Linked DNA regions of Mus musculus. The protein of the gene in region 1 interacts with the protein of each later gene in a pairwise test. Links are inferred from orthologs where the notes say so. Each region holds a gene or a part of one and is shown in the gene's direction. Other genes may lie near its edges.

Evidence for each region.
Region 2: the proteins of Eea1 (region 1) and Rab5b interact in binary tests that used the Homo sapiens proteins (3 or more experiments, as listed by UniProt). The link is inferred for Mus musculus from reciprocal best matches to the Homo sapiens genes EEA1 and RAB5B.

Annotation. Positions count from the first base shown.
Region 1 is NC_000076.6:96,023,849-96,027,665, forward strand, and holds part of Eea1 (early endosome antigen 1), read left to right. Parts: intron 1-48; coding exon 49-204; intron 205-2,183; coding exon 2,184-2,323; intron 2,324-2,708; coding exon 2,709-3,039; intron 3,040-3,203; coding exon 3,204-3,305; intron 3,306-3,817. UniProt on the Homo sapiens protein: Binds phospholipid vesicles containing phosphatidylinositol 3-phosphate and participates in endosomal trafficking.
Region 2 is NC_000076.6:128,693,178-128,697,728, reverse strand, and holds the start of Rab5b (ras-related protein Rab-5B), read left to right. Parts: upstream 1-1,460; 5' UTR 1,461-1,543; exon of another isoform or gene 1,544-1,841; intron 1,842-4,551. UniProt on the Homo sapiens protein: The small GTPases Rab are key regulators of intracellular membrane trafficking, from the formation of transport vesicles to their fusion with membranes.

The DNA of each region.
Region 1 (3,817 bases):
CTGAATATTGGATTGGTACAAATTTACTTCCAATGTGTTTTTCTGCAGGAGTTAAATAAGGTCAGTGTGCAGTTGGATCAGCTCACTGCAAAGTTTCAGGAGAAGCAGGAGCATTGCATTCAGCTGGAAAGCCACCTTAAGGATCACAAGGAGAAGCACCTCTCTTTAGAACAAAAAGTTGAAGACTTAGAAGGCCACATTAAGGTTTGTGTAAAACCAGTCGGATTTGTCGTATTTTCCACTCAACAGCTTTGGGGTTTGATGGCCTTTACAGATTCAAAGATTGTTAAGTAAAAGAGAAAGACAAAAGGGTAAAAAATGTAAAAATTACTTTATCAATTAATATATTTCCATCTTTGTTTTCAATTCCTTCATTAATGGGTGGCTTTTATAAGTAAAAATTAACATAGTGCTAGTTTATTGTAAAGGGAAATTGTATCCCAGGAGACACCAAACAGTATAAGTCTTGTTATAGAATGTCTTCTCCCCTTTGATTTTTCCATTTCCCTACATATTATTCTAATCTAACATTTCTTCTATGGTGTGGTGTTTATTCTTTTTAAAACTTTCCATATCCTTTGGACTTTGCGTCTAATTTAGTAATGCATTTTTGACAATCATAAGCTCAGCCTTTCTTTAAGATAATTCTAAGTGCGGTGCTGGTTTACTAAAAGGTGAAATAATTGGACAGATCAGGGAAACTTTAATTTTGTTCTGGAAATACTAACAGTTAAACAACAAAAACCCTTAGGTTTATTATACTTCCATGATCAGTTGATGCAAGCTGTATGATTATAGAATTATGAGATGAGTGTTCTATATGGGCATCTACACCAGTATAATATAAAAGAATGGCTTTTACAATTCTATTTATGGGTGGTTCTTTTAAAATGCCAACAGCAGTAGTAATGACAGATTAGATCTGGTTCAAAAGAATAGGTGATAATATGTTACAGAAAACAGAGTAAACAGAGATAAGTCTTACTTGGGCCCCTTTCTGAAATAGTTGTAATCAGAGCAAGAATCTCTGGGGTGCTGTTGCACAGTACTAGATTATAGATAACACCTTATTCTATACATTTCAAAAAGGTACGAAAATGAGTCTTTGAAAGTTTTTAGCACAGAGCAAAGGTAAATGAGATATGTCTAACTTGATTTAAGCATAACACTATAGGTACCCCACTGGCATGTATAATGTCTATGTTTTGGGGGTTCATTTTAAAAATACTTAACTGAGGTCTCGGGAGATTTCTCAGTCAGTAAAGCCCCGCCGTGTAAGCAGGAGGACCCCAGCTTGGATACTTGGTACCCACATAAGATGTCAGGCATGATGGAAAGGGCCTGTGGTGTTTGTGCTGGGCACGCAGAGAAAGGAAGATCCCTGGAACTTCACGTTTGGCCAGCCTATCTGGATCTCCAAGCGGGCTTCAGTGACAGGCCCTATCTTAGAAAAAGAAAATGGAGAGATTGAGAAAGACACTCAATTTTGGTATTTGTCCTCCACCTGTAGACACTCCCCAAAGGCACACACATGAGAACACACACACACACACACACACACACACACTGATGAAATGAAAGCACATTGCTTCTATCTAAAACTATATATAGTAGCTTGATTTTATAAATTTAAAAAATCAGACATATAATATGTATGAGATGCCTGGTACAGTATAAACAACAGTGATATAATTAACAAAAACACTTAATAAGCAAAGTCAGGAATTTTAAGTGTTGTATATTTAAGATCAGTAGGTATAAGTTTGAGGAGTACATGACAAATCCATTCAATTTTATTTTAAATATCTTGTTATTTTTGTAGTTGTTAACTGCATATACATAGATAATATATCTTAAGTGGATATGGGAATAACCTGTTACTTAGTTTTGTTTTTCTAACTTAAATTGACAAACATTTGCATTTTTAATATTTATGTTTAAATTGATTCTCTTATAATTAATTTTAAAAATAACCACTGATTTATGTAAAAAGCCCATTCTAGATTATCTGACAGACCCTAATTAGAACCATTTTCTCATTCAGTGGTGGTTTCAGAATGGATTTCTATAAATGCATTATAGCTATTTTGTATATTGTCACTAACAATTTGTATGCAGACCAAATGTTATAATAATCATTAGGCATTGTCAAAATTCAAATGAATGCTGTACTTCACCCACAGAAACTAGAAGCTGATGCTCTTGAAGTTAAAGCCAGCAAGGAACAGGCTTTGCAGAGTCTACAGCAGCAGAGGCAGCTGAGCACAGACCTGGAGTTGAGAAATGCAGAGCTGAGTAGAGAGCTCCAGGAGCAGGAGGAAGTGTAAGCTGGCCTCCCACTGTACATCCCTAAGGTGTTGGTTGTTCACACCGACTTTAGAGAGTCACCAAGTGTGGTTTTGTTTCAGTGTGTGTGTGTGTGCGCGCGTTGTTGTAGACCCTCTAGGATTTGTTACCTGAATTTCTCTGATGAGTAAATGGTGGTGGTCCAGACTTGATTAAGTTAGGAAATGTCACTAACTTGGCCCTTCCTGAGGAGACCGCGTGCATCTAATGAGATGTCTTAAGGCAAATTTCAGTGTTTTTAAAATTATTTTACTTTTTCTTCTGAACCATATTAAAAATTCAAGACTCAGTAATCACTTATAAATAATTTTGGTTGATAAATTTTATATTACATTAATTTTTAAAATTCTTTTTTAATCCAGAGTATCTTGTACAAAACTGGATCTACAGAATAAATCTGAAATCCTTGAAAATATCAAACAAACCCTCACCAAGAAAGAAGAAGAAAATGTCGTCTTGAAACAAGAATTTGAAAAGTTAAGTCAAGATTCAAAGACACAGCACAAGGAGCTGGGGGACAGGATGCAAGCTGCGGTCACAGAGCTGACAGCAGTGAAGGCACAGAAGGACGCACTCCTGGCCGAGCTTTCTACAACAAAAGAAAAACTGTCAAAAGTTTCGGATTCTTTAAAAAACTCCAAAAGTGAATTTGAGAAAGAAAATCAGAAAGGAAAAGCTGCTGTATTAGATTTGGTTAGTTGTTACATTTCTTTTCTCAGGTAGAAGTCATTATCTTATTTAAATGCCATAACTGGCATGTGTGTAGGGGTTGGTTTAGTTCATTCTGTTTTTCTTTTAAACCGATAAATCACTTGTAAGTCATTGCAGATGTTTTCAGTGTGATGTTTCTTTATTAGGAAAAAGCTTGTAAAGAATTAAAGCATCAGCTTCAAGTACAGGCAGAGAGTGCCCTGAAGGAGCAGGAGGACCTGAAAAAGTCACTCGAGAAAGAGAAAGAGGTACGTGCTATTTTACTATAAGCATGTAGAATATAATAAAAGAGGTACACATTGTTTTACTATAAATATGTAGAATATAAGAGAAAGAGGTACAGTGTTATTTTACTACAAATATGTAAAATATAATGAGCTTTTGTAGTTTCAAATTTTTCTCACCTCGATACAGAAATCAAGAGAACATGGGGCCGGAGAGATGGCTTAGCAGTTAAGAGCACTGACTGCTCTCTTCCTAAGGCCCTGAGTTTAAATTCCAGCAACCACATGGTGGCTCACAGCCACCCGTAATGAGATCTGAGTCCTTCTTTTAGAGTGTCTGAAGACAGCTACAGTGTACTTACATATAATAAATAAATAAATAAATAAATAAATAAATAAATAAATAAATAAATAGATAGATAGATAAATAAATCTTTTAAAAAAAGGAGAACATTTATTTCTATTAAGTAAAATGGTTCATGTGTTTATTTTTAAATTGTTATTTGTGTTCTGGTTATCACTAACAATCATTTAAA
Region 2 (4,551 bases), about 33 Mb from region 1:
ACAGAACACTGTTTCAATTCCTTCTTTTAGCAGCAACTTGAGTGGGCTTCAGGGGCCTTTGTCTCAACCCTCCATTTCCCAGGAAGTGTTCACCATTTTGTGTAGAGTTTTGTTTGTTTGGTCTGGTTTTGAAATTGTGTGTGCATGTGAGCCACAAGTGCCCGCAGAGGCCAGAAGAGGGCATATCATCTCTCCTAGAGTTACAGGCAGCTGTGAGCAGTGGTACTGGGAACAGGCCTTGGGTCTTCTACCGGAAGTGTATGCTTCTCTAGCTTGCCTCTAGGCCCTAGGTTCAATCCTCAGTACCGAAAAAAAAAAAAAATCCTCAGCAAAGTTGTCTAAATGTTTTTTCACATTTACAAACAATTCAGAAAATATCAATGTGAAAATATTTAGGAGGCTAAAGTGTCTTCAGACTACCACTTTCTGTTGTCATGGCAATTCACCCCAAAACTACTGTTCTCTAGTGCGCCACTAAAAAGAATTTACAAGATAAAAGTTGTTTAATTTCCTGGTTTTGGGTCTTTACTTTTTTTTTTTTTTTTTTTTTTTTTTTTTTTTTTTGGTTTTTCGAGACAGGGTTTCTCTGTGTAGCCCTGGCTGTCTTGGAACTCACTTTGTAGACCAGACTGGCCAGACTCAGAAATCCGCCTTGCCTCTGCCTTCCCAGTGCTGGGATTAAAGGCGTGCACCACCATGCCCAGCAGGGTCTTTACTTTCTTAATTTGACACAGAAAGCAGGGCACGGGGAGAAGAGAAGGTTAATGCTGGTATCATTGTTTTTTGTTTTTGTTTTTTTGGGGGGGGGACATCGTTGTGTAGCTTGGAACTCATGGAGATCCTCCCGATTGCTAGGATTAAACATGTGGGCCACCAAGCCCAGTTTACTCCCCTCCCCATCCCCCTTATACTGAGGTCTTGTTAAACTGAGTATCCCGGGTTAGCCTCAAACTCAGAACTGCCTCCACCCCAATCCACTGTGCTGAGATTGGGAGTGCCACACCACACCCGACCAAAAGCCTTCTTCACTTCTTCACTAGCCTTGCCTGCCTGTCAAATTCGGAAATTTCCCAATACTGGTTAAAATTTCCTTTTGACCCGCCTTCTTCACTCACCTGATTAGATGTTTACGAGTCGAGAGGCGGGGGAGGGGTGTCACGGGTGTTGAGGTTCTATTGGCTGACGCACATGCCTGTCAGTGATGCACTGCCCCCTTTCCCAGGAGCTCTCTCTTTAATGGCTACTTATCCCGTCAATCTTCAAGGCTTCTCGTGTAGGTATTGGCTTGCGGCCTCGCCAATCCAGTCTCTCACTTGTGCTAGTTGGTGATAGTCCCTCAGAGCCCGCCTTTCTCCAGAAGATTGGCGGGCGGACGCTCACATAGCCCACCCACCACGGTAGGCGGGTGATCTTGCGATTGGCTGGAGCCGCCCCGGCGAGGAGGAGGAGGAGGAGGAGGCGAAGGGGGTAGGAGTTTGGTTGAGCTGCAGCTGTTTGTCTGTTCCACACAGGCTTGGGCCCGACGGGGGATACGGAGCCCCAGGTACCGAGCTGATGGAGCCCACAAGGGCAGAGGCGGAGGTCCCGAGAGGAGCGCCGCCTGGCCTGTGGCAGAGGCGGGGCGGGCCGACGTCAGGGCTCCAGAACCTCCTGGAGAGGGCCGAAGGGGCTGTCCCACAGGCCTAGTGGGCGCTGAGGAGGTGATCGGCAGGGCTGGGAGCCGAGCCTCTAGTTGGGAGGCGGCTGGGTTCTGGCTGTGGTGGCCGCTCGGGGGCCGGGCGCGGGGACCCGGAGCCGGTGAGGACCAGGGCCGGCCTCGGGACTCTGAGCACCGCGGTGAGGAGGGAGGAGCTGGGGTCGGAGACCAGGCAGTGAGGGAGGGGAAGCCAGCCCATTTGGCTGGAGGTGTGGAGGGGACAGTGCTACGCCCAGCCCCGAGGGTAGCCGAGGCTGGGTCTCCCGAGACATCCACTGTTGGGGCTCTTAGCCGAGAGAGGCATTCTTTTCAGGGAAAGTGACTGTTGAAAGGGGAACTAGGGGTACTGGTGTTGCCGAGAGGGATTTGGTCTCACTGAAGTCAATGAAGAATGTAGAAGACCAAAGTGGAAGGAAGTAGAAACGGTTTGCTATTAGTAATGGGAACTTCTGGAATGATGGTGAGGGGAGGCTCAGTATCTTGGAAGTTCCTTACTCTTCTGTTCCTTTAGTGCTTGGGTGTGGTGATTTGAAGTTTTGGGGTACTTCAGGAATAGGGAATGAAGACAAAGGTAAAATTATGTATTATTCCATGGCGCCTGGCAGCTCTACGTCCAGCCCCCCCCCCCCACACACACACACCACTTTAGTTTACCCTGACCTCATAGCTAGTCATGACTGCACTCCTGTTTCCTTTAGGTTTGCTATTGTATTCGTTGTTTTTCCTATTTCATCTACTGTGAGAGAACTAAGAAAATTTGGGAGTGCTTTGCTCAGTCTTTCCCACTTCATAATGTGATCTGTGGTGACTACGCTTATTTAACCTAGATTTGAGGAACTCTGTCATTTGCATGGAAAGGGGCAAAGCAATCCCCAGCCATTAAAAAAAAAAAAAAAAAAAAAAAAGGACCATGTTTATTGAAACTTCTGTGAGACTTGCACTTGAGCATTTCCTAGATAGTTAATGGGACAGACTATTCACGCCAGGAACTGTGAGGTGATATCCCTGAAGGGATTTGGGGAAGAATTGAGAGGTTAGCTACCAGAAGGTTGGCACCATCCTTTCTTCTTTGCCCACTTATTCAGGAACGTGTGTGTGTGTGTGTGTGTGTGTGAGATTAGTTATTTAGGTCAAACCTTGAGGTATTTAGAAAGATGGATTATAGAGAATGAAGAAGTCTTTAAATTATATTATATGTAATAACCTGCATACATATGTGAGCCACAATGTCAGAGGATAACTTGTGGCTGTTTGGTATTCAAACATGGCATGTGTGTGTGTGTGTGTATGTATGCATACATATATACACACACACACACATATAGAGGGAGGGGTTTGCTAACCTGTCAAATTTTTTATAGATTGGACCCTATTGGTTTCTCCCTTAGGGTTCTACCTCCTCTTCCTCCTCCTCTTTCCTTTCTATACTAATGTTAGTGATCACTGAATTTATTTATTTTTTTTACCACATAGTGTCCTGCATATATACCACATGCATGCAGGACCCCTCAGAGGTCAGAAAAGGTACTAGACCCGCTGGACAATTAGGAGCTGCCGTGTTGGTGCTGGAAACTGAACACAGGTCTCTTACAAGAGCACTAAGGGCCGCCAAGCCATCTCCATAACTTGTATCACTACATTTCTTAATTATCAAAGTAACACATACATATATTAAAGTGTTTAAGCTGTACAGAAATATATAAAATCTGAGTCCTTCTATACATAGCTTATTTCATTTAGGACAGTTAGAGGTATTAAATAAGACTAATCAAGAGCAGAATACTATGGAAAGAATGAGACCATCATTTAGTGAGCACATGAAAAAAACCCAAGCAAAGACAGGTTTTTTTCATGTGCTCCTAAATGCTGTTCTCATTCTCTCCACGACATTCTCTTGGATGACACTCTGCTATTTATTGTGTTCCCTTTGCCGTTCATCTTGCCTTCTATCAAATTCAGAACAAACATAGAGCTGTCCTTTGAGTTATCATTTGCCTTCTTCAGTGTATACACATAGTGGTGCACTGGGTAGTCTAGAAACCGCCCAAATGCATAATAAGCAAGACTTTTATAGGCAAGAAAGAAACAATAAGGGGAATAATTTTGTTTAGGATAGTTGTTAGCATCTCTACTAGAGTGAAGAATCAGAAACCCCTCGTTCATCCACATTTTCACAGTACTTGACTGTCTCTTCCTTATCTCAGGGAGATGGTCATGGTTCCAGAAGAGGGTCTTGTACCTGGCTTGGTATAGTGACCCAAGAAGTTCCCATATTTCTCTGAATTTGAACTTGGACTTTTTTGACTTTTTGAAGCCCTCTAATATGGTCATTGCACGGTGTCCAGCAAAAACCTCAGTTTACCCCTCCTCCCACTTTCTCACCTACACAGTCAGTCCTGGAGAAAACTATTGGGATGTGTGTATGTGTGTTCACCCTCTGTAATCTTTGCCATCCTTTTGTTTTGTTTTGTTTTGTTTTGTTTTTCGAGACAGGGTTTCTCTGTATAGTCCTGACTGTCCTGGAACTCACTTTGTAGACCAGCCTGGCCTCTAACTCAGAAATCCACCTGCCTCTGCCTCCCAAGTGCTGGGACTAAGGCATGCGCCACCACGCCCGGCTGAGGTTTTTTTTGTTTGTTTGTTTGTTTGTTTTGGTTTTATTTTGTTTTGCTTTTCCTATCTTCTCCTTAAAACCTTTCAAGAAGTGATCTGGAAGCTGGGCATGGTGGTACTTGCCTTTGATTCCAGTATTCAGGAGACTGAAGCAGCAGAGTTCAAGGCCAGGCTAAGCTACATAACAGACACTATCCCAAACAGTATCACTACTGCCCACAAGGTTTTGTTTTTGTTTTTAA